7 linked regions of the Nothobranchius furzeri genome follow. The protein of the gene in region 1 purifies or fractionates together with the protein of each later gene. This does not show direct contact. Links are inferred from orthologs where the notes say so. Each region holds a gene or a part of one and is shown in the gene's direction. Other genes may lie near its edges. The genes, in order: cebpb, smarcc1a, atf3, stat3, sp1, atf2 and smarca2.

Region 1 (3,394 bases):
TGTTGGGCCTTTGTACCGCTCTCATGGAGTCTGTTTCTGACCAGAGGTCATTCTGCAGGGCTCTGGCAGTGCTTCTCCTGTTCCTCCTTACACAAAGGTGGAGGTAGTGGTCCTGCTGCTGGGTTGTTGCCCTCCCTGGAGCCACCTCCATGCTCTGGACACTACGCTGACAGACTCAGTAAACTTTCTTGCCACAGCTCGCATTGTTGTACCATCCTGGATGAGCTGCACTACCTGAGACACTTGTGTGGGTTGCAGACTCCATCTCATGCTACTACTAGAGTGAAAGCATTCAAAAGTGACCAAAACATCATCCATCATCCAGAAAGCAGAGGAACTGAGAAGTAGTCTGTGGTCACCACCTGCAGAACCATTCGTTTTTTGTTTGCCTATAAATTCCACCTGTTGTCTTTTCTGTTTGCACAACAGCAGTGAAACTGCTTCTCAGTCACTGTCACTGGAGTTACATCGTGTTGTTTAAGTGTTCCTTTTATTATTGTTGAGCAGTGAACTTATATATAGATTTACATATCTGGATTTTTACACATATTTAAAATGTTAATACTTAGTAATTGTTGCATTGGTGATTTTGTAAACAAAAGTCTTTCGTTGAGTTTTATCAAGTTTATCAGATTCTAGCTTCTACTGCAGCCAGAATTAAGGACTTGAGGAGAGCTTGTGTCAGATCTCATTTTTTGTCGAGGCAGCAGATTTTTCAAGACCCACAAAGCAATCACAGACATCTTCTAGGGCACATATAAGTCTTTCGCCTTAAACCAGACAGACTGGCTTCCTCTGACGCCCACCCTGGCCTTTGTACAGATTTAGACATGCATCATGAGGAGGTCCACTGCACTTTAATTGGCACGTATATATGCTGGAAGTTGTGGGGCACCAGATTTCTAAATGAAATGAGTCTGTGGCTGCTTTGAACATCAGTGATGTTGTTACTATAAACTTTAAAAAGATAAACACGTTGGGTTTTTTTCCAGACGCGTGCAGCAGGGGGCGCGCTTGCATGACGGTGTAAACTGGAATTTTATTTTTTACTTTTTATTTGACTTCTGATATCAGCTCCCATTCATCAGCCAAAGCTGCTTTTCTCCTTTTTGTTCTGCTGCTAGAATTTTATTATAGCCTTCATCTGGTGCGCACGTACATAAAAACTAAAGCAAGTTTTATTTTGTTGTTCGGTGTTTTATTGTTGTTGTTTTGTTTTGTTTGTTTGTTTGTTTGTTTCATCGTGACAAAATACTTTAAATAGCATGCGGACGGGAAAGAATCTTCTCCGCACGGTACAGGTCGGTTCTGCTCTGCGTGACACACCTGCCAAGTTAAGCCCCGCCCCCACCCCTAATAAAACCCCTCCTGAGACAGGAAGATCTGTCAATTCCTCCCAATCCAAGAGCTCCCGCGTAGTAGGAGCTGCGTGTTTCTACGGGTAGTGACCGAGGAGGTTTAAACTCTCTGCATTCCGACGCATTTCACAACTGAGGCAGGAAAACCAGAACCAGCCAGGGCGTCCCACCTCAGCCCGACGTGCTCCTGCACTCCAGCGGGTGTTGAGATCCATGGAAGTGGCCGGCTTGTACGAGGAGGGCAGCTTTGCTATCCACGGTAGAGACGGCTTCATCGGACCCATAGGCGGAGGCTCTTACTGGAGGCTGGGCGACTCGATGACGGAGCTGGGTCTGGGGGAGCGGGAGAGAGCCATAGACTTCAGCGTTTACCTGGACTCCGCTTTGCACTGCCCGCAGCTGGCGGCGCACACGCAGCAGCAGGGGGACGCCTTCTCTGATTTCCTCGGGGAGAACAAGATCAAAAGACTCGCAGCTTTCCAGAACTATAAGAATTACTCGCTGCTGAGCGAGCTGGAGGCGAGCCAGTGCGAGGGTGCGAGGGAGCCCAGGGATCCGTACGCGCTGGGTTACCCCGAGCTGCAGGAGACCCGTGTGGACAGCGTTCTCAGCCCGGATCTGGTGGCCAGCCGTTACCGAGCCGCCGCTTCCACCGAGAGAGAAGACAGTCCGGAAGACGCAAAGATGGAGAACGGGTCATCTGGGTTTGACATGAGGTCCTACCTTCATTACCAATCCACCAGCGGAAGTATTGGAAACATCTCCACTGCGTCCTCGACCTGCTCCAGCCCGCCTGGCACACCTGCCCCGTCAGGTAAAAGCAGGTCACCGTCGCACGGTGGAAAGTCGTCTGGCGGGAAGGCGAAGAAGCGCCTGGACAAGGACAGTGAAGAGTACCGGCTGAGGAGGGAGAGGAACAACCTGGCAGTGAGGAAGAGCAGGGACAAAGCCAAGATGCGCAACTTGGAGACGCAACACAAAGTGCTGGAACTGGCTGCGGAGAACGATCGTCTACAGAAACGCGTGGAGCAGCTGTCCAGAGAGCTGGCCACCCTGCGCAACCTGCTCTCCGCCACCGGACAATGTTAGAACTCCCCACCTCCATCCCCCGGGGATACCGCACGGATCTCCCCCCGGATCCCCGCGCTGCTTGCCTGACAGACTTAACGGCGCAAGAGGCGACCCACTGTGCTGAAAACGGTACTCTGTAAACAGACCGCCAGTTTACATGGACACTTTGAATGAGACTGAACAAGTGGCTGCATGGATTGCGCAACCATTACGCGACTTTTCACTTGTCCTCATAGCTTTATTCTCAGATGTAATTTTAGTGTATGCAGTATTTCTGTGCAGGTTTTACATTACCAGTGAATTTCTACATTTTGTGTACACTGTATCTGCAGCAATGGCTGTCAGGGGAAGAGTTGTGCTGCAGTGAAATGATGCAACTCTTTGTAATAGTATTGGCAATGAATGAAATAGTCTAATTATTTAATATTAAAAGGTGAAATGCTTTAATTGTTCTTGATATTTTATTGAATTAAAGAGATTTATACTTTGTTTAAACTATTTCACTTCCCTTTTCTTCTTTTTTTGTCCCTTTCACCATGGATCGTGCATCGTTCACCGTCATCATAGACTGTGTAATACCATGTTTTGGGGTTACGACACACTGCAGATAAGAAATCACCTCGATGATAAGCAGAATGTGCACATTTAAATGTCAGGCTATGGTGAAATCAAACAAAGCACCATGAGATTTTTCTCTTTGGAACAGCTAATTTAGAAAATAGTCACATGGGCCCACACAAAACATCACTCATTAAAAAAATTTTTTATTGAGATTGTGCATTAAAGTTGCCTGATCAACTCACACACTTAATCATAAAATAAAATAGGCAAAGACTTTGTTTCAAAATGATTAATCAAAATCAGTTTTTATAGTTGCACTATATGCTTAATATCATGTTTGGTTGTTGTAATTGAGGGCTTGACTCCAAAAGTACACAGATCCTTAAATAAATGTGACAGATTTA
Region 2 (4,424 bases), on another chromosome or scaffold:
CTTGCTAATCTCACAAGCTCAGCAAAGACAAAATTGTAGGGACCCCATATCCCAATTTGGAAACCTCTGCTCTATAGGATATGAAGGAACTAAAACAAGTCATCTTGTGCAAACCTCTTTAGATATTTAACGACATCCCATCTAAAGCGCATTACTGTCAAAGTGTCACTAGCAATGAAATATTGAAATCAGCCTTACCATATGCATAAGCAGAGCACAATGGAAAGCAGAGCAGCAGCAACTGCAACATTACAGTGGATCCCATGATGCTGGTTAAAACATACAAGGTAAAAAAATAAGTTTGCAAGGTTAAAGAGAGTTCAAAGCAAATTGCTAGAATTATGACCTATAAACGTGCTTAGCACTTTAGTGAGAAAATAAATGAACTACAAAAAGAGGAGGAAGCAATCTTTTATATAAGGGAAACGTGGGAGTGAGAAATAACACTGACAGGAAATACAGAAAAACTTTCGGAAGCCATGACCAAATAAGTGATCTCTTACCACACTCTCGACAGCAGAAGAACAATCAGAGCTCTAACAACTATTATGGACCATGCAACAATCAGAGCTCTAACAACTATTATGGACCATGCCACACACACCTTTATCTGCTCCTCCATCAATCAGAGGGGGTGGAGCACCAGCAGGTGCCACTGGGATTCCAATCAGTTTATTACTGACTTCGGGGGAGACAGGAGAGGAGTGCCGGTCCACACTCCAGACCTATAGGTGGCGATGATGCACCACATGTTGTTTATGGCCATTGAACCTCAGAGAACAAACTTATTACGTCATGGTTTCCTTCTGTAATATAAAAAATAGATTTGTATAAAATACATTTCTTAATTAGGCTTGGCTTGAACATACCCATGTCACTTTAGCAAGATTATCTTACCTTTTATCCATGCTACTGAATGTCCTATTTTAGTTATTAAAATGAAGAGTAAAATAGAAGATTGTGATGGGATTCTGTTTCTTTACCCAGTCATTCAAAATAACACCCAACCAAATATTCAAGCAAAACATGATGTGCACATAAAGCCCAACAGAAGGAAACATACTGAGAAGTGTATTGCTGCCATCTGGTGGCAACATGTTGACGACATAACTGAAGTTTCACAATAATACCATAAAATGTTCTTTTGTCTGTAGAGCTCCATTAATGTCATTAAGTAAATACTCTATTAAGTAAAAATAAAAGGAATATAGTGTTTAAAAGTAGATAAGAAGCCTGCAGACATGGCAGATTTGTCTAATCAGCTCCTTACTTTTTGTGTTAATTCCTATAACCCTGCCACGTGAATCTGGGGGGGGGGGGGGTACGCCTACATTTCCCATGAGCGTCACATAAACCTCGTGATCACTTTGCGGCTGCGCAGTATCATTTGAAAACTTGCACGGCGAGGGATGCCGTTGAGGAGAAAGACAACGCAGTGAGCTACACACAATGGCGACGGCGGCGACTTCTGCGGGCGGAACGGGTTCAAGCGGACCAGCCACAGGCCTGGTCGGTGGAGGAACCGCGGTAGGACGAAAGAAAGACGGCGGTCCTTCCACGAAATTTTGGGAAAGTTCCGAGACGGTGTCCCAGCTCGAGACGGTGCGGCTTTGGATCGGGAAGCACTACAAGAAGGTGGGTTAACGCTGCTGTGTTCCTCATTGATTTCTATAAAGGCCCGCGTCTCGCTGGCACAATAGAGCGCTGATATGTTTATAACCTTCATGTACACTAAGCTAACTTTAGCTGTAGTTGTTCTGGTTGACTCATGTTTATAATCTCGCTCAAGAGAGTGCAGACAGTCTCCTTTTAGACACGATTAAATGCAAACGTACTATGATAGCTGGAGTGAAGTTGCTTTTCTGTTAGCCTGCCATCAGCTAGCTCGCTAGCCGCTCAGTCAGCTAAACACAACAAATTAGTTCTAATAAGGTACTGAATGTCGAACTGTTGATACGTTATTGTAGTAAAAACGCACATGTGAAATTATGTTGTGTGCTAAAAATATATACGACCCACTCATTCGGTGTAAAGGCCTAAGAAACTAACGAAAATGTCACGGTGCACCGTGTGTGTACGATTCACATAAACATAACACACCATTCATTCTGTTTTACGTTATATTTAGGTCTCAGAAAGTCACAAGATAATTGTGTTTGTTGCATTTTGTGTAAAAGAGTCCTCATTGTGTTGTTTTGTCAACACACTCATCAGGCAGACAGCCTCTGGCTTCTCTCGCCCAGCAAAACAAAGAGTGTATCTATTCAAACCCACCATCACGCCCATGGAGGCGCATTTAAAAACAACGCAAAAGTTCAACTGAACAGCAAACTTGATGGAGTCTAGATTCTGTTTTAAGTTTGCTTGTTTGCAGTTTTTGTGTTGGAATCATGTTTTTCTTACCGTGTCTTTGACTTAAAAAACGTAGGTACTTAGATTAATAAGGATTTCTGTGATTGCATGTAAATATTTTCATGTCACACCAGAACACATTATTTATAGGACTTAGTAAAGTTAAAACAACAACAAGTCGCCCAGCTGAAGATTTATTTGTTAAATGAGCAGCAAGGTTGTGGTTAATAGTGTTTAAAATATCAGATATTGCGAAATTAGACCTATTCCCATGACCATGCATGTATTTGTTACTGTGCAGACTTCTGTGTGTCACCAAAGTTTTGTAGCTGCTTGTAATATATATGTGTTCATTTTCAGATGCTTTCCTGTTTCTTTGTCAGTGATGCATGTAAATGATTCAATGATTATGGTTTTTTTTTCAGTATGTTCAGAATGACTCCCCCTCCAGCAAATCACTGGGAGGCTTGGTGGTGCAGCTGCTGCAGTTCCAAGAGGATGCATTTGGACGGAGGGTCAACAATCCAGCTCTTACCAAGCTACCTGTAAGCACACCTTCTTTGCAGAACCAAAAGCTATCATAATGTCTGTGTCTTGAATCTCTTTGTTTATCTTCTCTCTTCAGGCCAAGTGTTTCCTGGACTTTAAGGCTGGAGGGGCTCTCTGTCACATCTTGGGCTCGGTTTATAAGTTTAAAAGTGAACAGGGCTGGTGAGTGGATTTATTTTTAACTTCAAAACTGGTATGACCCAAACTTAACCTCTTTGATTGTTTTGAACCAGTGGTTTAGCAGAATTTAACTCTTTGGTTACACCAGTACCACGAACTGAACATCTTGTAAAATGTGACAAAATTCATACTGCATGAAATCAAAAGGATATTCAACTTTTAGTCAGTTGTGTGTTCGTCTTAAAACTAATTTGGTTTTGCTTTATGAACTCTACTCTTAGGCGAAGATTTGATTTGCAGAATCCCTCAAGGATGGACAGAAATGTGGAGATGTTCTTAAATGTTGAGAAGAACCTGGTTCAGGTATGAGCATCCCAGTCTGAACACAGACTTTTTGTCTTCTATATATTTGACCTCTGCATGGGTAACGTCTGGTTTTATCGATGGTTTGTGTTTTTGTAGAATAACTGCTTGACGCGACCTCTGGTCTACCTGTCTTCGGAAATAGAGCAAAAACAAGCGAGTAAGCTCAAAGACATCGTCAAAAGGCACCAGGTGAGTTCACTTCAAACCAGGAAATAAAAACAGTTTATTTTTTTATGTATTTTTATTATGACTAGCATGAACGTCTTTGTCTTTTCAATTATCTAACTTTGTTTCTCTTCAGGGCTCCACCACCGAGGATAAGTCAAAGGCCACCCACCACATTTATCCTTCTCTTCAGCAGCAGGAAGAAGGTTGGTTTATAACTTTTGTGACTTTGTGCATACATTTTATGATGTATGTTTGAACTTGGGTGTTATTGTTCCTTGCTGATCTGACTCATTTATAGTGTGATCTCTATCCCATCAAACACATCTAGATCAGAATAAAGATCATTTAGCTCCGTTTATGGAGGCTTTATTTAGCTGATCTTCTTGAAAATGGGAATTTTTTGTCACAGCACGGATAAAATCTTCGCTAATTGCTGAAGTTGTGCTGGGGGTTGTGTTTTTCAGAAGAGTGGCTACGTCCTGTGATGAGGAAAGACAAGCAGGTGCTTGTTCACTGGGGCTTTTCCCCTGACAGGTAATCAGAAAGGATCACAGAGAGACTCGGACATGCTTTTCTTTATTGTGGATATGTTTTTACTCTGCAGGAGTATTTCTCTAAAGTTATTCAGTTTCTATTTTTATTAGTAATTTAAAAAACACTAAATCTAATGTCAGAGACATTTTTGCCAAGTTTTTTGTTTTGAAATCACCCAGATTAACCACCTTACTGATCCTGTGTCTGTTATGTATTTTACCAGCTACGACACCTGGGTGGCAGCTGGTGAGGTGGACGGAGACGTTGAAGACCCTCCCAGTGCTGACCGACCCTGGAAGGTGGAGCACCCTCTACCAAAATGATCTGTTTAGCAC
Region 3 (4,665 bases), on another chromosome or scaffold:
GCTGGGTGTTTTTGCACCATGAAAGCCTTGTTTTGTGTCCCAGCTCAGAATTCCTTGGAACCTGTGGAGGGTGTTTGGATGAGGAGGATCCATGCTGATCAGGTTTCATGTCGGGTTTCCTGTTGCAGAATTCCAAACACCCTAAAGAAATCTTTTCTAGAGAAGCTGTCAGAAAGTGAAAGTTATTCTTTTTGAATTATTTACCAGCAGCTGAAACTGGAAGTTTCTTTATTACTGGGAAAGTTTCAGCAGGAAGGGAGGGAGGGGCGATTGAGGAGCTGGCGAGAAGTGATGAAACGGGTCACAGAAAAGTTTCACTTTGATGTATTTGTAATATATAATGTTATATTATTATTATTATATTGTTATTACAATATAATAAACACAAGACAATTACTAAAATAATAAAACAATGTTGATCACATGACTGACGTCCAGTCCCTAGAGCAGCAGCCCTCTACAACTGGGCCGAGGCTCGGTACCGGTCCATTAAATATTTTTAAAAATTCCAGAAATATTAGTTTATATGCAGTTGTCCACAGGAGCTTTTATTTTGAAAATTAGCAGTATTAAGCCTCCAAATATCCCAGATTTTAATTCCGTTTAATTTTATTTTTCGTAGTTATTTTTGAGATCCTTATAAATCTTTTACAGGAAATGTTCTCTTAAAATAACCAAAATAAATGGTCTGTAAATAAGGTTAAGAGATCCAGAGATAAACATTTAGAAGTTTTTTCCAAATATAAACATATTTTGTACAATCAGACCAGATCTGTGAGGTTTTTCAGGAAGTGATCCGACTTAAATCCCTTTAATCCTGCCGGTAAAACAACGCAACCTGTGGTCTAACGGAGCAATTTTCCCTGTAAGGCAATGGGTTTCCATGTTATTTGCCTGCTGCTTAATGGTTTTATTAAAGGTTTCAATGAAAAAAGCATTTCAACCAGGATCAAACATTTAAAGTTTCAAAATAAAAGCACAAACAGCATCATGGCCATTATTCCCTGAATCATTTCGAACTTCACTGTTTTCAGGTGACCTCTGACCTTTGGAATCTCTCAACGGGCGACTAAACAGGATCAGATTAGTTAGAATTAAGCTACAAAAACACACACACACACACACACACACACACACACACACACACACACACACACAGCTGAGACACACAAAAAAACTTATCTATAAGCTGATCCTTCTTCCTCCCACCATTAGCTTCTCCAGGCCCTGATGGAGGTGTAACCTCAATAAATAAAACCCATCCGGTGTCATTCAGCCAGAGCGAATCACTTCACGTCCTAATGTGGAATGTTGGGATTGGGAAACTGTGTCTGTGTCAGATCAGTGAGAGCACTCGGGAAGACACGGCGCTCAGAACTTTTAATCATCTGTGATTTCTGCTGCTTTCTAGGAACTTACTCAGAGGAAGTGTGTGTGTGTGGGGGGGGGTGGGGGGTGGGGGGGGGGGTGTTTGGTCTAAAGGAAGGATGGAGAGATGAACTGAAGGAGAGGAAGAGGAGGAGGGGTTGTGTTGTAGCAGATCAGCCCGTGGTTGCCTGGTTGCATCATCACACAATCACATTTATAAATAGAATTACGTCATCCAGCTCAGAGCTGCTCCTCTTGGCTCCTCCCGCCACGTCACAGGCCCCGCCCCCAGCCCGGATCATAAAAGCCGGTGATGCAACCGATTCGGGTCAAACGCAACTCAGAGCAGCGGCGACGAGCGAGGCTCCTGCAGGCGTTCACTTCCTCAACCCGTCCGGACCGTCCGATCCAGAACCAACAGGTAGGCGGGGGGTTCCGGAGGGAGGGGGTGTTTCGGGGGAACGGGGATGTCCCGGTGAGGAGCGGAGCGCTTCCCGGTGGGCTGAATGAAACCATCAGGATTTGATTTATTTAAGAAATAAACGGAAGTTTTTATTGATTCAACTTATTAGATTTGAACTTTGACCGAACTTGTTTGAACTTTTAAAGTTGATTCAAACAGTTTATAGTAAACAAAACGCATAAAATGACTTTAAGATGTTATAATGCAGATTAACTGTAAACGTGAGCCGTTTTCTTATGAAGATGAAATAATTCCTTGATGTAATGGTTCAGATTTAAGTGTTGAGAAAAACACAAAAGAGTCGAACTTAATAAATAAATAGAGCTGCACGTGCAGCTTTCACGATGTTGCTCCTGCTGAGATTCAAACCTGATCATAAATCCTTCTGCTGTGTTTGGGTCAACGGTAACTCCTGCTTTATTCTATTAAGTTCAGGGCTCCTCTAGGTTAGATGTTTGGCTGTCAGCAGAGCTGTTCAGGAACAGCTGATCTTCTCATTAGTTGAGTTTGTTCCTGAGGAGTTACTCAGCCGAAAGAGAGCAGGAGCTGCTCCTTCAGCAGCTTTAGGAGCTTCTTGGATTATTTGATGTGAAACTTGTTGCATATTTGATTTAGTCATTGTTTTTTATTTTTAATTAGAATGATGCTGCAGCATCCTGGTCCTTCTCTGGCCGACATCAGCTGCTCTGCTCTGGTGCCCTGCCTGTCCCCACCGGGGACGCTCACCCTGGACGACTTCACTAATTTCACACCCATCGTGAAGGAGGAGCTGCGCCTGGCCATCCAGACCAAGCGTCTGTCCAACGGGCTGAGCGCCGACGTCAGCTCAGACGGCTCCAGCTCGGACCGGGCCTACGAGCGGCCCTCCGCCAGGCTCAAGAGAGAGGTGAGACGGAGCGAACTCTGAGGTTACCTGGTCTGTTTGTCAGACGGGGATCAGGAGAAGTAACGGCGTCTGTCTCTTTGGCTTTTAGTTGACTCATGACGAACACGAGAGGAGGAAGAGGAGGAGAGAAAGAAACAAGATTGCTGCAGCAAAGTGTCGCAACAAGAAGAAAGAGAAGACGGAAGGTCTGCAGAAGGTAAGAGACTTTTGTTCCCTTTCACTCTGAAACCCAGCTCATGAAGAACAACATTAACTCCTCCATTGTCCCTGTCCTCCTCAGGAGTCGGAGAAGCTGGAGAGTGTCAACGCGGATCTTAAAGCTCAGATCGAGGAGCTGAAGCAGCAGAAGCAGCAGCTGGTCTACATGCTGAACCTGCACCGGCCCACCTGCATCGTCCGGGCCCAGAACGGCCAAACGCCCGAAGACGAGAGGAAGCTTTTCATCCAGCACATCCAGGAGAGCACCTTACAGCTCCACAGCCTCACCTCCTCCTCCTCCACCTCCTCCTCGTTATCTACCGCCACAGTAGCACCTCTGGACGGAGGCGTCCTGACGCTTGACGACATCCAGTGTCTATGATGGTGATGCTGTGAGACTTTCTCCACCTGCGCCAAGAACGAGGAGACGTGGATCAGCTGCTGGAAGCAGCGTACAAAGCCACGTCTCCGTCCTTCACCTCCCAGCTGCTGGGACGTCCTGGACAGAGGACAGACGCCGACGCACTGAAACCAAACAAAAACCCAAACTTCACTGATGTTTTCAATAGTTAGTGGTTTGATTTTTGTCCCGGGGTGATTTTAAGGTGACTGATGCACACAAACCGTTCTGTGGAAAGAAGAGTAGCTGCAGGCCGGTTGAGTTTAACCTGCTGTAGAAAACCTATTTATTAAGGTAGGATGTGATGTTAGCGACCCTCTGAAGCTGCTGCTGCTAACCCCTCAGGACACAGACGTAGATGTTTAACTAACGGGAGTGTTTCTAGTAATAACGGGAATGATTCCGTGCTGCAGCCATGGCTGCAGCCTGTAAACATGACAGGATAATCGTATATGCAGATGATGAACTTCTGTTCTGTTCTCCTGCAGGACTGATTGTATTATTAATCCATCATTTTATATCTGTGTTGAAAAGAAGCTAAAGTGTTATTTCTACTTAATTCTGTTCCCTTTTTGAGCTTCTCAGACCAAAACCGCAATTATTAGTTAAATAAGCATATTTATTAAACATCACATTAAATGTCTCTGCTGAGTCTGTGATCCTGCGCCGTCTCATTTGTCCTTTTGGGGGTTTGGATGGGATTTGTTGTGTTTAGCAGGTTTCTGCTGATGAGGATGGTTTATGTTGTCTGTAGTTTGTGATTTTAGCCAAAGGCCACTTTGTTAAAGAGACGCAGGCGTCTGGTCGTGGTGTGTGTGTCGTTTAGCATCCTGATGCTCGTTAGACACCTCATTTGTGCTTTATTGTGCCTGATTTTGTCACTGAAAGTTGTTTTTGTAGCTGCTCCCAGCCTAAATGAATAAAATGTCAAATATCAGGAACAACTGCACTGCTGCTGCGCACTTCCTGTTGTCACCTGTTGAGCTTTGTTTTTGATACTTTTGATAATTAAAACATGTATTGTCAGTCACACTGTATGGTTTGACTTTTTCTCTTAAAATGGAATGCAGCCAGTACAGAATTCATTAAAAAAGTAAAATAGCACAAAAGGCTAGTTTTAATCTGCATGTGAAACCTGGCGTAGCACCAACAACCTTTCTGTGGTTTTGTTTGTGATGGAAACAAAAGGTCACACTGAAGGAAACGTTTAGTCTAAGTCTCTAAAACGAGTGATCAGCTGTGGCTGCTGCTGTACAAGTGCAGCTGAGAAGTTGCATCATCCCGCATAAATGATGAGACACATTCCTGATAAATGAGTCGGCTTGTTTCTCTCCTGAGGGAAAAGTTTTA
Region 4 (3,711 bases), on another chromosome or scaffold:
AAATTGGCTCAGTCCTTTGCAGAGCCATCACGTTGAGCTCAGAGTCTTCAGATTTTGAGTTCACAGAGCAGAAGGGGAGAGGAATAAAGTAGAGACTGGAGTCAGCTAAGACCAGGAGACTCTATAAACAAGACATCAGCCATGTTTTCTGTGGTTATTTGTGGGTCTGATGGCGTGCTTGTGAGGTTTTCTCAGTGAGATCCTGACCTGTCTCCGTAGGTGTCCCTCCGTGTTCATGGACTTGCCAGACAGTGAGCCGCTTGGGAGCGGATTCCTTGGGTAGGCCCCTTTGGGGTGGGGGGTTGGTGCCATGTAGGGCCGTGTGTGCATTCTGTCACTTGTATGTTTTTTTAGACCTCACGGTGCATTTACTGCATCTACATCACCTTAGTTTTCTGTGTCCAGTTCACAGCCACTGCTCCCATTTCTAATTCAAAAGCACATTCCAGTCATCCATCAGGTTTCTGTTTATGCTCCTGCTGCCCACATGTTTTGTCATCATCCTCCGCTTAGAGCCACGTGCATCTGTTGAGCAGCACAAACGACTTCTGAAGGGAGGCGACTGAGGATTTTAGATAATAAAGTTAGCTTTGAAAATCCTTCAGTCCAATATGTCTGTATGAACATCGACTGGAGAAAAGTCTATGCAGAAGTAGAGAGAACAAAATCAAGGAATTGTGTTTTGCAAGCTGGAAGAAAAGGTTGCTAAATGACCCGTCGATGCACTCTGCCGTGGCTCTGGCTGGAGCGAAGCCCCCATTAACATCCATTCAGTGTGCTGTTCAGTAGTCACAGAGCATCTTAAACACGGTGCCGCCGCCATTTATCCGTAAGATTTTTAACAAACCTTGAATTTATCTGCATGTAACAACAGACTGAAACCACCTTCCATTTGTTAACACTTCCCTATAAATGAAGAATGACTAATTTACTCACAAAACCATCCAACTGTGTGTTGGAGCAGGACCAAGACCACTTGTGTTACACTGGAATGACCATAGTTAAACTGAAAGTGCTGGTCTAACGTGGCAGGACGTGTTTGTCGTGAACACTTTGCTTTGCAGCGTTATGCATTTTGTCCTTTTGTTTGTTTTCTGTGTGTATTCACAGCACGAACTCTGGAAACACGAGTGACCTGTTCCTCATGTCACCGCGCACCCTGGACTCGCTCGACTCCCTGATGCCCAGTGAAGCTGAAGCCAACCAAGGACATCTGGGTGAGTCACTAACTGGGAACACGCAAGCTTATTTTTACTCCTGAAGCCGTCTTTGGTCTTACCACAACTAAAAGCCTCACCTAAAGTAAAAAAAAAGCATCTTTGAATTAGGGCTGTGCGATATTAGAATTATGTGTGATAAGTCATTAATACTGCGATGACGATACGGCTTTCAATAAATAAATATTTAATTTAAGAACAAAAAATAAAAAACAAATTAAAAATTGTAAGAAAATTTCATTCAAAAAAAGCAAAAATTGTGATCAAAAGATGTGAGGAAAGGGAAAAAGAGCAAGAAAAGGTACTCCTGGGAAAGGCAGAAAGAGCAGAACAAAGCTAACTCAGGTGTTTTAATTAAATGCTGTCCACCTAGGGGCGGGCATCTAACCTAAAGAACACACCCGATTGGCCAAATGGGTGAAGAGCTTTATTTGATTTGCCAAAATCTTCATGCTTCCGTTTGACAAAACGCATCATGTGTAGCTAACATTTGAGCTGACCATTCATTGCGTTCTTTCCAGTTCTTTGCGACATGCCGATATCACGATGACGATACATTTGTGCATCCTACTATAGCCTCTTTTATAAGACAGACCATCGCGTCGTTACAGAGTGATAAATCCGAATTTGTGGGTCTCGTGAATGCGGCAAGGAGCAAAGGGGAAAGGTGATAAAGCTCGATTCTGATGCGCTTTGCCTCGTAGTAATATTGCCGCACAAGCCCCTCGTCTCTGATGGCTAAACACGTGTCAGCCCCGTTAATCCCTTTGGAGCGACTGAGGGAGCGCCCCAACCACCACCACCACCCTGCCGCAAAAGACGGGGGGGGAATAAAGGGAGGCAGCGACCTCCCTTTCCGTCTTGGCTGGAGAGGTGCCTGATGGCAGTTTATTCTAGCTTCAGCTTTGCTGCTATACATGCCAAAATCCTCCCCAGGGAGCCGCGGCGAGTCCCGTTTTGCAAACGCTATGGTCCTGTAAACAGCTTTTGAATTTTAACTCTATATGCCTCAATAATAATTTCCTTGTTTTTATCCTAGATTCCCTCACTTTGAACATGGATGTAGCCTCTCCAATGTGAAGACAAAACTTCCACCATTTCTGTCCACTTGTTGGGATCTGAGCGGCTCGTTTATTCCTGTCTTCACACGGTCTCTCTGTACAGTTTCTTTTGTTTCTGTGTAAATTTACCAAACAACAAACAGCAGTTGTCTCTAGAGTTTGACTCACTTTGTGCCCTAACTATCTTTCTTCCTTTTCTTTTTAACAACTCTTATCATATATGCAATAAAGTTTTATTTTTTTGAGAATAAACTGTGTGTGTAATTGACAATAAATGGTTATGTGATTTTATTATTATTATTATTATTTTTTTGAAAAAGTAAATGGTGTTTTTTGTATAAGCTATGTGCTGCTTGAGAGAGGCTGATTTCTGTTTTACAGAACGTCCCTGCCAAATGAATAACATCACAGTAGGAAAACTCTGTTGGTTGAATTTAAACATGTTTCTGGTTTTAGTTTACACAGAATGGGTTTTTAAACTTCATCCAGTAAAAGGAGATGGGAGTAGAAGTATTTCTGGTAATTGGGTCATTTTTTTCCCCCGTCAGCTCTCTTTCTTCCTGTTTTACGCCTTTGTTACTGTAAATGTGTGGTTTTTCACTTGTAAATTGCAACAAGGTCATGTGAGTGAGACTGGCTTTTGAAACAGACCTTTTGATGTTTGTTTTGCCTGTTTTTAACTCGTATGATCAGATATAAAAATGTCAAATATCAAATTATTTATGGTTTGTCGGACTTCCTTTTTCCACCTTCGGAATGTTGCTAAGATTAGAAGCATCCTTTCCAGGAGTGATGCTGAAAAACTAGTTCATGCATTTATTACATCCAGACTGGATTACTGTAATTCATTACTCTCAGGAAGTCCACAGAATGTAGTTAAAAGTCTTCAGCTTGTCCAAAATGCTGCAGCTAGAGTTCTGATGAGAATTAAAAAGAGAGATCATATCTCTCCTGTCTTAGCTTCCCTACATTGGCTGCCTGTTAAATTCAGAATAGATTTTAAGATCCTCCTTCTCACATATAAAGCTCTTAATAATCAAGCTCGATCATACATCAGTGACCTGATTGTTCCATACGTTCCTAACCGAGCACTTCGCTCTCAGACTGCAGGTTTACTGGTGGTTCCCAGAATATCTAAAATTAGGATGGGAGGCAGATCTTTTAGTTATCAGGCTCCTCTCCTGTGGAACCAACTCCCAGCTTTAGTCCGTAATATTTATAGTCTGTAATATTTTTCTTTACATTTCATACTTAAGTGAACCATGTCAGTGAAATAAAATGCCATGAAAATGTTTTTTGTGTCTCAATGACAGCTTTTTTATTCTCTTTTAAAAGCCTTTGGTGATTGTGGATGGGGACTAGGAAAGAGCTGAACAAAACATGAGGGAAGCTATATTTAGACTTAAATGAAAACAAGGACAACTTACGGTTGG
Region 5 (4,486 bases), on another chromosome or scaffold:
CCGGCCCGCGGGCCGCATATTTGACATCCCTGCTCTAGAGTCTAGACTATCATAAGGAGGGTCCAGGCTGTGGCCAGCTGCTGCTACAGAGGCACTGTTGTAAGAAAACACTCCAAACATTGTCTTTCAGTTTTTCAGCGTTTATTATCTACAATGGCAATCACTTTGTATACACCTTTCCAATATGTCTCAGAGTATGACTTTTTTGCACAAAATGTGTTATCTGGGTTATTATTTTGGTATAACAACAAGAAAATATTTGTATAAGCATCTACTATACCAGATAAATGCTTTGACATGCTTTTGTTCAAATAAGCAGAACTTAATGTTAAGGCTCTGCGGCACGAGGTCCATGATTGCTGTCAGGGTGGCACTGGCACACCTTGGACACCTTCCACTAGCACTGCCCCGGTTATATCCTGTTTATTTGATATTTCCTGATTTTAGCACATTTTTTGTGCTAACTTTTTACCCAACAGCATTTCTTTAGAGTACTTGTGAAGTGATAACATAGATAAATCCTGTGATAAGCATAGAAACCAGAAGGCACTTAATTGTTCTACATAACAGGATTAAACATAGCAATTTGAACACAATATTGAACCTGACTAAATCAATCAAATTCAATTGTGTGTGTGTGTGTGTGTGTGTGTGTGTGTGTGTGTAAACAGACAGGCCAGGGTGGTATGGATGTATGGACTCCACCCTCTGACATGTTTATACATGGACACATGTGCTATTTCAATGACAGCCCCTAGCAGAGATAAAAGCCCTCCCAGTCCAACCATCTTCCACTCCCAGCCCAGCATAGTAGCCAGTGTGGTGAGTGTTATGAGGGTTCTTCTCCACCCTTTCTGACTCCTCCCGCCACATTACTGTTTACCGACTCACAAAGCCACAAGGGAGTGGCCAACGGCCACGGAGGCAAGACTCAAGCACTCGTTCAGCCCTCCTTACTTCCCACCTCTGTGGCCAGAGACATTAACAACGTTTGGCGTTGTTTCACTGTTGAAATTTGACTCCACTTCAAGACGGGGCTAAGCGAATTATCAGTATTTACGTGGACTAAACTATAGTGACGTCGTTTTAGCGGAAAACAAATAACCCGACGTCAATCATGCTCAAGAGCACAACCTACCGTGCTTAATCCCGCCCACCCCTCCAACTATGGTGAAATTAGATTAGTCAACTGGTGCTCTTTAGGCGAGACAAACAATTCTATTGGACAATGGATTATTCCATCACCCGTATTGCTGATTGAGGAGCGCTTGTTTTTTTTTCGGCACAGTACGGTACGCGTACTACCAAACGAAAAAGAAAAAAAAAATCTTAAATATTCCGAGTTTAAATCGGTTTGAATTGAATTATTTACAGCATGTGTGGCGGTACTCACTCTACCGTTTCATTTCTGCCTTGTAACTTGTACATGTCTATGATAAGTTCAGGAGTCGGTTTTACTTTGATTTAAGCGCCAAGAAAACCCAGCATTCTTTCAAAATGTCATCTACTGGCTCACTTAAGTTTCACAAATTATATTTTTATAATCTCTAGTTAAAAAGTAGTCTAACTTGAAATAGGTTTGAGAAGTTCATTGCACCATCTCGAATCTAGTTTACATAAATCGAACGCACTCATACGCCTACTTCAAAGGGAGGGGGAACTTAAGTTTGTGTGAAGTTGTGAAAAGTTGTCAAGCTGAAAAAAGAGCAGAAACTCCTCCCGTCTTCTAATTATGAGCAGTAAGTGGACTTTTAAAACTTGGAGGCATACTACGTGCGTACTTATAACTCAAGGGTATGACGTAGCAACATCGTGTTATTTGTATTAAGTGGTGGATTTTGCGCTGCATTGTTGTCTAGTCTGAAGCAGTTTTAAAGTGACGTTAGTTTATTGTTACTTAACGCTACTTGTTAGTGGTTCTTTAGAAAACGACGCTGTCCCCTCTTTAGAATTGTAGGTTATGGTATTCCTCAAACAAAAAATAGCGGTAATGTTTTATCAGAACGGTGGAAACTGCGTTGGTGCACTTAATTAATGCTTAACTAGTTTATTGTTTATTACTTGTGCTGAGTTCACGTTAGCTCACAAGCTAACTGGCCTTGTGAGGGCTTGAAATGTTTTCCAACCCGAATCTTCCACAAAGCATTCTTAAGTTGACTTGTTGTGAAACATGTAGTCGTTTTTCTTTGTTTGATTTTTGTTTTCGTGTATAACTGATCTATTATGTTCCAAGAAGTCTTACAAGTGTTCTTCCGCAGATCAGCAGCAGCAGGGTGAAATGGCCGCTGTGGAGAGCGGCGGAGGATTCAGCCAGAAGCGAAACACAAACTCACAAGTAAGTTAACCACTTAGCGACATTTCGTTCTCATCGTGTGTGCCACTTGTTGAATTTGTTGTGTTCGTCTGTGCGTGTGTGTCTGGACCTGAGCGGGTTGTTGATTTTCTCACCAGAGCACATGTCATCGGGGTGGGAACTGGGCAGGTAAATTTCGCCCACACGGGGTGTTCCCATCTAACCCGGGCACTTCTTGTATGTTTCGCTCGGCCCATTTGGCTCTCCTTGGAGGGGGTGGCTAGTGAAGTGTGCTAGTTTATAGGGCGAAAATCAAGTGTGGGAGGGAGATGGGTGGGCTTGGGGGGAGGGGAAGCCGAGCCCGCCGCTGCTCCGGAAAATGTGGTCCCTCCCTCCCATGTCCCCTCACCCAATGCGTTTTCTCTGTGAAGCCCACTCCCCTACAAGCGCTTCAATGAAACTCGCTAGACTTAAACGCAGTGATATTATGGTTTTCACTAAACAAGCTAGATTTCTTTTAGAATAAGGAACCTAATTTGTTTTAACTTGAAACATCATGCCTTTCTTCCTATTTTTTAACAGGTCCAATATACAATATGCTAGAACATGTGATCCCCTTGCACGGTTTAAGATATAATTTATGTTCCACTTTATTTGTGTTGCTGTAAACATCTTGTTTATAATAATTAGGGTTGCTTTTATTGTTCTCCAGTTTGAATATGCGTGGACAAAAGAGTTCATGGGGCTTTGGGGGATGTGATTTTACATGAGTAGTTTTATTCATTCATTTATAAAGCACCTTCATGCTGCCAATCAAGGCAAAACACAAAATTGCATGACGCACATAAAAAGGTAAAAGTAGAGAATGGAAAAGTAAGTAAATCAAATACAAACATAAAACCAGTACAAAGGAAACCTAAAATTTAAAGCACACTAAACGGTAATAATATACAGTTACAAAAATAAGCCACTAACAGACGGAAAATGAAAAGTGATACAAAAACCATCCAGCTTTGAAGCATTACAAGGAGGGAACATGTTTAATCTCCAGAGTTCAAAAGTCTATAGAAAAAAAAACAAGAGAAGGCATGGTCACCCCCCAGTCTAAATCCTCGAGACTACTAAGAGACTGGGATCGGCTGAGCGACGAGATCTTGGCAGAACATGTTTAGAAAGCAAGGCTGATGTGTATGCTGGAGCCATCCCAGCAAAGGCCAAACATTGTAGAAAAAGCTAAAGAGTATCACAGTAACTGTCAAAATTGGTTTGAAATATGAAATTCATCCATTTTGTTCAGGAAAGTCTGCTAAAAACTTGTGCAGCAACAAATGTTCACATCAGAATTTCTGGCACTCAATTGTCTCTATAGATGTAAGATAGCATGCTCTGTTATTATTGTCTGTTTACATTTTCCTGTTTGATCTTCATTTATACTGATTATAGGACTCACAGCAGCCGTCTCCTTTGGCCTTGCTGGCAGCCACGTGCAGTCGAATCGACACCCCCGGAGAAAACGATTCTACCGCAGACCAACAGCTGGAAATAAACCCGGGTGTCTTCACCTCCAGTGCCAACGGCTGGCAGGTCGTTCCTCTAAGCGTTCAGGCATCCTCCGGCTCTAACACAATCACCACTGATTCCTCAGGGGTGATGACAGGAGACAATGGCAAAAGCAGACAGGTGCTGTCACCATCAAGTACTCAGGGTCAGCAGCCACAGCAGTATGTAGTAGCTCAGGCCCCATCTGTGCCAGGTCAGCAGGTTCTAACCACCATATCAGGTGTGATGCCCAATATACAGTACCAAGTAATACCCCAATTTCAGACAGTAGATGGCCAACCGCTGCACTTTGCACATGCTCAACAGGAACCTGCTGCAGCAGGACAAGGACAACAGTTTCAGATAGTGTCCTCTCCAAATGGCCAGCAGATTATTGCTGCATCCAATAGAGCTGGTGCAGCTGGAAACATCATAACCATGCCCAGTGTCCTTCAGGGAGCCATCCCCATTCAGAACATCTTAGGCAATGGTGTTTTACAAAATCAGCCCCAGTTTCTGGCAAACATGCCAGTATCCTTGAATGGAAACATCACTTTGGTGCCTGTCAGTACAGGTTCTACTGGAGGGGATGCAAATGGTAGTGGAGAAACGGGTGGGAACCAGCACGTACAGCAATCTCCACAGCCAGCATCT
Region 6 (4,657 bases), on another chromosome or scaffold:
TAAAAATACCGGTGGGCCTCCGGTTGAACTTGACTATAGCCTAGCAAGGGTACTTGCAGAGTAGGCCTGCAAGTTAGCCTGTAGCTAATGCTAAAGGACTAAATTAACCAGGTCAAACACATTGATGAGCTGATTTTGTGGTTTGCAGACAGTGTTTCTGCTGATTGAGTGAAATGCCGCAGTGGCACAGTTTCACGTTATAGCAGACATCTACAATGTTATTAGCTAAGGTCATTGAAACGCAGTGTTAGCCGATAGCTCACACAGCTTACTTCTTATTGACATAATGGGATGCACAAACTCACTTTCTCCGTTTGGACATTGTTCAAAATGTTCAAAATCTGCTGTCCAGTGTTGACTGCTTCCAAGGTCATGTTAACCAGTGGCAGACATAAGAGTATGAGACCCTGCAATCAGCATGCGGCCCATCTATCAATATTGTGCAATTTCTGACTAATTTACACAGTTTTCTATGTCGGTGTGTGCTTAAAGTGTTCTTGAGTGGCACTTAAAATACACACCCTTCTATGTGAAGCTTGATCCAAGCAATGCTAAGTGTTTAATCTTGTGTCCATTGTTAATGCAGGTCCGTGCTGGTTCCCGGGCTCTTTACAGACCCCTGTCAGCTTCTGTGCTGTCCAGGCCTGAAGCTAAAACAGAGGTATGAAAGCATGTTTTCCACACCCTCATTATTTTTTTTGAAACCACAGCATTGCAATTGAAGTTTATATTTTATCGGCACTGTGTCTGAAGCCCTAATGGACAGGGTTTTAACTAGAAAGCCTTAGTAACTTGTAATAACTTTGTCTGAGGACTAGCTCTTATGTATTCAAAGATTTAGTTTCTAATTGTCACATTTGGTTCTTGTGATGTTAAAGTTTTTATTCTTCTTTTTTTTTTTTTTTTTTTTTTTTTTTTTGCTGCAGAGCTCTGTTTCTGTGATGCCACCAAGTCCCCTCACTCAGGTCACACTGAGAGGCTTCCAGACCAGCGCCATCAGCAGGGACATTGACACTGCTGCCAAGTTCATTGGTGCTGGAGCTGCCACGGTTGGAGTCGCTGGGTCCGGTGCTGGAATTGGGACTGTGTTCGGTAGTCTCATCATTGGTTATGCCAGGTTTGTTTGAATTATTTCAAATATTTATTGTTAAAACAATTTTACAATTTCTGTTTGGATTCACCAACAATTTCTTGTTCTCAGGAACCCATCACTGAAGCAGCAGCTCTTCTCCTATGCCATCCTGGGATTTGCCCTGTCTGAAGCTATGGGACTCTTCTGTTTGATGGTTGCTTTCCTTATCCTGTTTGCTATGTAAAACTGCCCCACAACACTTTAATTACAGATGTGACTACATATTTTATTGTGGCTACCAAAATTGTTCCTTGTTGGTGTCATAGAAATGTACATTTTTCAAGTCTCTCAGACACTGTCAAAAACAGCAAAACATGTATTGTACAAATGTAACATCTTACGTGAATAAAATACATGTTTTTGACTATTCAAGATTGCAGAAGCTTGTGTCCAAAACATCACCCAACACAACAGGAAGGGGTTGACTTTCATGAATGTCATCTTTTCAGTGAATCAGCCTTGTTTTCTGAGCTTTTTGGGGTCCACGTGAATTATTTTGTCATTAAGCTGCAGTTAAATAGGTGTGTAATTGTGCAGCAAGTGAGATCTAACGGCATGGTAATGGCACTGAATAAATCCAAATGATTTACTTGTGTTAAATGTTTGTTTTTTTTCCCCACAGGAAGAATTAAGTAATTGGCCAATACTTTAAATGAAAGCTTTGGCTGTCAGATCTTTTAAATTTTATCATTGTATGCAAAACTTAAAGGCTTCCTTTCATTTTTTTGACAGAATAGAATTATGTTGGGTTAAAGATGAGTGGCACATGAATATTTTAAATTGACCTTTAGACAGGTGCAATTTAAACACTGACTTCAAAAGAATCACTTTAAAGAATGTCTGCCTTTATTCTTCAAACAGATCTGTCTGCAGCTGGTAAGTTGATGACTGCCTGGTACAGAATCACAAGGGATCTCAAGTGGGTGGATTGCCTAGCAATCATTGCTACAAACAAATTGAAGCGTTTCTGTAACATTAAATACATCTAAATTGTAAGAGCTTATACATCACTCCTAGCATTTGATTTTTTTAAAGTTTACATTTGTGTGAAGAAGGCAGTCTGCTTGAATATGCAAATTATGTGTGCTAAGCGCTTTAAGACTATATTAGTTTTTGTTTTCCTCTAAAAACAATTGAGTTACGTTATGTTAGAATAGTTTATAACATTGGTCCGTAATTTATTTTCTCATACTTTTTTTGACTCCAATGAATTATCCCCAATCGTTTGTGGATGTGGCATTTAACGAATATCTGTTATCGCGATACTTGGGGAAAAAAACGTGGGATTTTGGAAATCAAGGGTTGTGGCTAAGGGGTAGGTGTCAACTCAAACCGCTAGCGACTGTGTACGAATCTTTGGTAAATATACCTAATTTGTGGCAATGTGAGCTGTTTCTGTTTGGTGTAACAAAACAGGAGCCGAAATAGTAGTTGACAGCTCTTTTGTTTACAGCGTTACGTGCGTGTTCAAATATGGCGACGGTTATGTTAACGCAAGGCTCAGGCTAATTCATGGAAGCGACTGGATTGTAGCTCATCCTTTTAGCTGTAAATATATTCTTTAGTTGTTTTGTGATATATGTAAAAATAGACATGCGGTTCTCTTAAAACATATCTCCGTGCTTTGTCTGGAGCAGTGTATCTAAACGTTTTTTATAAGAGCACCGAGGTGTAAACAACTACAGAAACCGCCCCTTATCGATGGTCTTTGTCCAAAACGTTCACCTGACCCCAGCTGGAGTTTTAACTTTTATCATAACTAAACCAGCATGTGTTTACATATTATCATCTCTGAATCGGAGTAGAAATATTTATTATAGGAAGAGTTGCTCTGCATCTTCATAGATCATCAGTTCATTAAAAAAAAATATATATATATATATATAATGCAGATGTTCAGGTTAAAAGTGTTTTTTGTATTATTTTAGGGAGAAGTTACAGGAACTCCTTAATATGAGTGATGACAAACCCTTCCAATGCACTGCTCCTGGGTGTGGACAGGTAAGCAATCCGATTTTGAGAACTTCTTTGAAATTAAACTGATAAAAGACTCTTTGAAGCATCATTGTTCAAGGTTATTTCGCAAAATATGACTTAAGTTTGATGTAAGAGTTTTATCTAATTGATTCATGACTCAATGCATAAAAGCTTTACCAAAACACTTGTCAAAAAAAAAAAACTTCCATTCTTATATCCTCAAAATCTGACAAAATTGTTAAAATGATCGTGGGCACTGAAATAGCCATCACAGCAGTATATGTATGATCATTTGAACATGCAGCCATGTTGTTAGGTTTATATTAAACTTATAGCTTTTTGTCGTTCATCAGAGGGTGAATTTTGAGAGCAGGTGTGTGTGGTTGTGTGTATCTCCAGAAGCTATTTCTTTTACTAAAGAAATGTTAAAGTGAAATGTGAACATCAGTTTGTTTACATGGAAAACATACCCTCATAACCCAAACAATAGTGTGAATAGAATATATAGTAAAATAACTCTGGTAATAGTCATGTGTAACATCATCACCTATAACCTTTTATTTTTACCCATGTGTGATTGCAGAATGGAGTGTATGCAGACAAATTTCATTTTTTAAATAATAATCATTCAATTTCCATTCATTCTTAATTAAAATGTAATCCAAACAAGCTGATCTGAGTGCCCCAGTAACATATAATACAAATAAATAATTTCACTTAAATTAGGAACATTTCACTTGCTGCAGCCCCAAACGCACATTCCTTCTGCTCCACGTAAACCTGAACTGGTCACCTGCAGCTTGTGCGTAATCCAATATCTGCATGATGCTTGCTGAAGAGGTTATGAGGTTCTGGACGTTTGCCTCAGACTCGTGGCTGTTTAAATGTTGTTCTGGATTAATCCTCACTATGCTGACACACTTGAAGCGGGTGCTGAATAACGAGCACTACTTAAGCCACAGTTTTAAAATGAGGAAACATTTCTCCAAATAAAATAACCAGAAGTCTACCTGACTATGAAAGATAGAAGGGCTTCCACTTGACAGTGCGCTCTTGCGCACAATGTCGAGTGCGTCACAGACGCTCTCCCAGCTCCTCTTCAGCGTGCCGCTTGCGGACACTGTCAGCAGCGAGAGGCGGAGAAGGTGAAAGATAATGCTCAGATGTTTTGTTGATGGAGATCTTTTCTTTTTTTTATCTCCGCGATGTTCTCTGTGCGTAACGTGTAAAATATCTGTCATTAACAAACTTACGCTTGGTCAAACAAATAAATGAACAAATTGCTTCTTATAAAAACAACCATAACAGCTCAGCCCGTCGCCGATGGTCGAATAATTCATCCCATCGCTGAACCCTAATGGTCGGCAAATTGAAAAATCTAATTGCTAGCCTTTATATGAGCTACAGTGACGGAGTAAACGCTAACTGCCGTAAAGCAAGTAGAGAGCTCCACCTAGTGAACCTACTCATGCCACTAAACTTTTAAGTGCTTTTCCTGGTCAGCTGAGGGCTGCAGAGTTCTGTATAATGTGAAGTTCCTAAAGTTTC
Region 7 (3,968 bases), on another chromosome or scaffold:
CCCTGCTGGAGTTGTGATGTGAACGTTTTCACCGACAGTTTGTCCGCAGGATGAGGATCACGCCTGTTCGTTCTCCTGTTTTGGGCTGGAAACTGTTTAAAAAACTGTAAACCAGTTTACCCTTTTCCCCCGCTGTCTTCCTAGGGATGGGTACCTTTGACATTTGAATCGATCCGGTCCTAATTCCCGGTACCTACGAATCGATACCGGTACTTAACGGTACCAATTTTCGATACTTTTGAGTGTTTATTATTTTAATTCTCTTTTATAATTAAATATCTATTTTTCTCAATATATAACAATATTTGATAAATATCACGATAAATAACATACAACTGTTTGTATTTTAACATCGTCCTTGTAGTTTTATAAGCTGATAATTAAACTGAAGCAAACATCTTTACTGTGAACTAAATTTACTGTGTATCTTCATTCCTTTTGCCGTCTTTTTTTCATTTGATTTTTCCTACTGGGAAGCTAGAATTTCCGAGGAGAAAGCGAACGCACCATTAGCTGATAACAACGGTGGCAATGGAAGCTAACATATCAAGCTAACGTTATCTTAAACAGTTTATTTAGCTGCTGGAGCAGATTAAAACGACGATGCCTCACACTTAGATCGTTGTCACTGGTTTCATCTTCACCCAATCACCCGTCGCATTTAGTAAAGTGAAGCCAAATTTTAGAGCGCGTTCATGTTCTTCTAGTCAAGAATTCGGAGTTCCGAGGAGAAAGCGAACGCACCATTAGTGGAACGGAAGCTAACATATCAAGCTAACGTTATCTTAAACATTTTATTTACCTACCGGAGCAGATTAAGATGAGGATGTCTCACTTAGATCGTTGTCGCTGGTTTCATCATCACCCAGTTACCCATCACATTTAGTGAAGTGGACCCAAGCTTTAGCGTGCGTTCTTTCTACCATGCTGCTGTTTACAACTGGCTCGCAGCGACCGACGACATAACGCTCTTGCGCATGTGCAGCTGTCTAGGCAAGTTCTCGTTATGAAGGACGGGTACCGAAACGAGGCACCGTTTCAAATGACGTGAATCGGTGCTCGGTCGGTACTATGGAATTCGGTCGGTACCTTAAAAAGTACCGAATTCGGTACCCATCCCTACGTCTTCCTGAATCAGTCTTTTCTGAATTCACCTAAAATGTTCTGGTGTTGATTCATTTACAGAGCCCCCCCCGGAGACGGAGACCGCTCCAGCAGCACCTCCAGCTCCCGTTCTCGGGCTCTCCTGTGTTTAATTCTTAAACCTAAAACAGGAGACAGACTCCAGAACCCTCCTGTCAGTGCTTCTCCTCAGGAACGTCCACACGACGCTCACCTCGGCTGAGACGGATGACCGTTCAGACTTTAGTCGCTTTCAAAAACATCAGATTTGTGTCAAAATCAGTACCACATAACCAAGTGACACGGATCGCATTTGAAAAAATCGGATCTGTGCGTTCAGACTGTCACGAAAAAACCAGATGTGGGGAAAAAAAGCGGGTTTGATGAGCTTTTGTCTGCAGTGTGAACGTAGCCTAAGTGAGTGAGCTGGTGTTTCTGGGCAGGAGTGTAAACGTTAAACATTAAACATGCATCCTTCTGGGTTTAGGATACATGTCTCCACATCCTTCCCCGATGGGAATCCACGAGCACGCTTCTAGTCCCATGTCAGGAAGCGGAGGTGGACCCACACCACCCCACATGCCTCCCTCCCAGTCTGCACCTATGATGTCCTTGGATCCTCAGGCCGGCATGCCCAGCATGTCTGCTATGGGACAACAAGGACGAGGACCTTCTGCCTTCAGTCCCGTGCAGCTTCAGCAGCTCAGAGCTCAGATTCTCGCCTACAAGATTCTGGCCCGGGGACAACCGCTGCCAGATAACCTCCAGCTGGCTGTTCAAGGCAAAAGGAGCCTACCCACAATGCAACAGCAACAGCCGCAGCAGCAGCAGCAGCAGGCTCCTGGTGGCAGCCTGTACAGACCTCCAGGTAGTCAGCCCTCCTCACTTTACCACCTAAATCTGAAATCTAGCACTTTTTGATTTGCGCTAAATGACCATTTGGTGTAATTTTGGTCAGAAAACTATGATGGCGGCTCAGACTGGACCAAACAGACAGCCATTGTGTTGTTATGAAACTGCTGCGTAACTTTATTCAATTCAATTCAAAGCTTTATTTATAAAGCGCCGTCCCTGTCGGGGAGGCCAAGGCGCTGTACGCAGTACATAAGAACTGTAAGTCACAATGAATGAATGCATAATAAAAGGGGGTCAAATAGTGCAAAGAGGGTCAAACATTCAAGTAGAAACAGTAAAAACAGGGAAACGAAATCAACATAGAAGAGGGCCGACTAGGGCTGCTCGATTATGGCAAAAATAATAATCACGATTATTTAGGACGATTTTTCAATTTATGTTGATTTTATTTGTTTTTATTCAGTCATAAAATTTCTCAGGGCGCAATCAGGACAAAAATAAGAAACAAATGATCACTAAAATAACTCCTGAATATAAAAAGACCAATATACTTATAGCTCATAGTTTATGACCTAAGGGCTATAGACCTTGGTTTAACTCATTTAGGTCTAACCAGTACAGAACCAAATACCATTATCTTGCAAATACTGACAGCAAGAATTATACAGTGGCATTCATAACAAATAAACACAAATAAATTGATGTTCACAAAATGTTGCATAACATGTATTGAGTCATGTCAAGGTGCTGTAGGAGAGTGCACTAGCACCGTGTCCTCAGAGAGATTAGTTATTAATTATCAGCGTGAGGAACTTATTTCTACCTTATTTATAAACTATTTATTTACAAGTCATCCATCAGTTAATGTAATAATTGTCTCAACCACAGCTGCACCCCACAACCCAGTCTCTCAGCAATCGGGGCAAGCTGCACGTGCGTTTAGCGCACCACACGCTCACATTTAGCTGTTTTTAGTGGCTCAGGAGTCCGCAGGTGCGGTGTGTGTCACTCACTCTGGTTAATCTAACAAGGAGCCGACTCCGAGAGCTGTCTTTAGTGACTGACCCATCACTACATCATTCCCTTTCCTAATGTCCTGAAGAACGGTCCGGAGCGCAGGCGGAGTGTTTAGCTAACCTGCAGGAAATGTCGACGACAGTTATCCAGAAAGTAGCTAAGGGTTACCAGAGATGTTTCTGAGGTGTTCGCTAGGTACTTTTAAGTTAAAAAGTCAAGAAGGGGGTCTGAAAAGCTGCTAGAAATAGCGTCAAAGTCACTGTTGGCAACACTGTGGGAGGAGCGCTTCATTTGCAACTCAGGGCATCGCAAGCGGGAGGAGCAAATAATCGGCTTGTTTTGTTTTTTATAATCGTTCAAAACTCAGATCGTAATCGTGATTAAAATTCGATTAATTGAGCAGCCCTAGGGCCGACCTCAAACACGTTCAGGGAACGCCAAGCAGAAGAGCTGGGTTTTCAGGCCACCGCAGAGAGGGGGACAGCCTAACTGAGGGTGGCAGCTGGTTCCAGAGTGACGGGGCTAGGACTGAGAAAGCCCGGTTCCCACGAGTCCGACACCTAGAACGAGGGACAGCGAGCAGGCCGTGGTCAGAGGAGCGTGTGACGGGGAATGTCTGTTCAGGAGCGTGGCTAGATTGGGGGGGGGGGGGGGGGGGGGGGGCACCACCCTGGAAGAAACTGAAAACAAAGACGAGGTGTTTGAAGCGAGAACGATAGCAGACCGGAAGCCAGCACAGGGAGGCCAGAACCGGACTGATGCGGTCCCGTTTCCTGGTCCAGATTTCTAAGGCAAAGTGAGACGTGTTGTTTTCTAAAACACGTTTAATTACATGGATGTAAAAGAATGTTTACAGATCAGAGAAAAGCCGTTAAACCACCTCTGACTGCTTATTTCATTGACAGGCATGCCAATGGCACCTTTGGGTGGTCCTCAGTCCAGCCCCCTTCCAGCACCACCCATGCAAGGCCTCA

The links.
Region 2: the proteins of cebpb (region 1) and smarcc1a purify together in Homo sapiens (affinity purification with western blotting; 3 studies listed by BioGRID, with this or other methods). This does not show direct contact. The link is inferred for Nothobranchius furzeri from reciprocal best matches to the Homo sapiens genes CEBPB and SMARCC1.
Region 3: the proteins of cebpb (region 1) and atf3 purify together in Homo sapiens (affinity purification with western blotting; 3 studies listed by BioGRID and IntAct, with this or other methods). This does not show direct contact. The link is inferred for Nothobranchius furzeri from reciprocal best matches to the Homo sapiens genes CEBPB and ATF3.
Region 4: the proteins of cebpb (region 1) and stat3 purify together in Homo sapiens (affinity purification with western blotting; 3 studies listed by BioGRID, with this or other methods). This does not show direct contact. The link is inferred for Nothobranchius furzeri from reciprocal best matches to the Homo sapiens genes CEBPB and STAT3.
Region 5: the proteins of cebpb (region 1) and sp1 purify together in Homo sapiens (affinity purification with western blotting; 4 studies listed by BioGRID, with this or other methods). This does not show direct contact. The link is inferred for Nothobranchius furzeri from reciprocal best matches to the Homo sapiens genes CEBPB and SP1.
Region 6: the proteins of cebpb (region 1) and atf2 purify together in Homo sapiens (affinity purification with western blotting; 3 studies listed by BioGRID and IntAct, with this or other methods). This does not show direct contact. The link is inferred for Nothobranchius furzeri from reciprocal best matches to the Homo sapiens genes CEBPB and ATF2.
Region 7: the proteins of cebpb (region 1) and smarca2 purify together in Homo sapiens (affinity purification with western blotting; 5 studies listed by BioGRID and IntAct, with this or other methods). This does not show direct contact. The link is inferred for Nothobranchius furzeri from reciprocal best matches to the Homo sapiens genes CEBPB and SMARCA2.

Annotation. Positions count from the first base shown.
Region 1 is NC_091755.1:52,069,415-52,072,808, reverse strand, and holds cebpb (CCAAT/enhancer-binding protein beta), read left to right. Parts: upstream 1-1,407; 5' UTR 1,408-1,571; coding exon 1,572-2,447; 3' UTR 2,448-2,679; downstream 2,680-3,394. UniProt on the Homo sapiens protein: Important transcription factor regulating the expression of genes involved in immune and inflammatory responses. Also plays a significant role in adipogenesis, as well as in the gluconeogenic pathway, liver regeneration, and hematopoiesis.
Region 2 is NC_091745.1:65,006,279-65,010,702, forward strand, and holds the start of smarcc1a (SWI/SNF complex subunit SMARCC1), read left to right. Parts: upstream 1-1,379; 5' UTR 1,380-1,449; coding exon 1,450-1,635; intron 1,636-2,777; coding exon 2,778-2,897; intron 2,898-2,977; coding exon 2,978-3,063; intron 3,064-3,302; coding exon 3,303-3,384; intron 3,385-3,483; coding exon 3,484-3,576; intron 3,577-3,688; coding exon 3,689-3,758; intron 3,759-4,019; coding exon 4,020-4,089; intron 4,090-4,312; coding exon 4,313-4,388; intron 4,389-4,424. Other genes in the region: uncharacterized protein si:ch211-215k15.4, read right to left, coding at 199-269, 504-622. UniProt on the Homo sapiens protein: Involved in transcriptional activation and repression of select genes by chromatin remodeling (alteration of DNA-nucleosome topology).
Region 3 is NC_091742.1:15,053,228-15,057,892, reverse strand, and holds atf3 (cyclic AMP-dependent transcription factor ATF-3), read left to right. Parts: upstream 1-1,685; 5' UTR 1,686-1,789; intron 1,790-2,470; 5' UTR 2,471-2,471; coding exon 2,472-2,717; intron 2,718-2,805; coding exon 2,806-2,913; intron 2,914-2,997; coding exon 2,998-3,297; 3' UTR 3,298-3,974; downstream 3,975-4,665.
Region 4 is NC_091745.1:6,824,833-6,828,543, reverse strand, and holds the end of stat3 (signal transducer and activator of transcription 3), read left to right. Parts: intron 1-219; coding exon 220-279; intron 280-1,110; coding exon 1,111-1,217; intron 1,218-2,256; coding exon 2,257-2,297; 3' UTR 2,298-2,997; downstream 2,998-3,711. UniProt on the Homo sapiens protein: Signal transducer and transcription activator that mediates cellular responses to interleukins, KITLG/SCF, LEP and other growth factors. Once activated, recruits coactivators, such as NCOA1 or MED1, to the promoter region of the target gene.
Region 5 is NC_091743.1:62,035,181-62,039,666, forward strand, and holds the start of sp1 (transcription factor Sp1), read left to right. Parts: upstream 1-1,649; 5' UTR 1,650-1,732; coding exon 1,733-1,739; exon of another isoform or gene 1,740-1,794; intron 1,795-2,258; coding exon 2,259-2,335; intron 2,336-3,736; coding exon 3,737-4,486. UniProt on the Homo sapiens protein: Transcription factor that can activate or repress transcription in response to physiological and pathological stimuli.
Region 6 is NC_091754.1:21,239,743-21,244,399, reverse strand, and holds the start of atf2 (cyclic AMP-dependent transcription factor ATF-2), read left to right. Parts: upstream 1-1,718; 5' UTR 1,719-2,338; coding exon 2,339-2,478; exon of another isoform or gene 2,479-2,491; intron 2,492-2,512; exon of another isoform or gene 2,513-2,680; intron 2,681-3,060; coding exon 3,061-3,133; intron 3,134-4,657. Other genes in the region: atp5mc3a (ATP synthase membrane subunit c locus 3a), read left to right, coding at 587-661, 927-1,117, 1,202-1,316. UniProt on the Homo sapiens protein: Transcriptional activator which regulates the transcription of various genes, including those involved in anti-apoptosis, cell growth, and DNA damage response.
Region 7 is NC_091750.1:37,837,566-37,841,533, forward strand, and holds part of smarca2 (probable global transcription activator SNF2L2), read left to right. Parts: intron 1-1,609; coding exon 1,610-1,990; intron 1,991-3,899; coding exon 3,900-3,968. UniProt on the Homo sapiens protein: ATPase involved in transcriptional activation and repression of select genes by chromatin remodeling (alteration of DNA-nucleosome topology).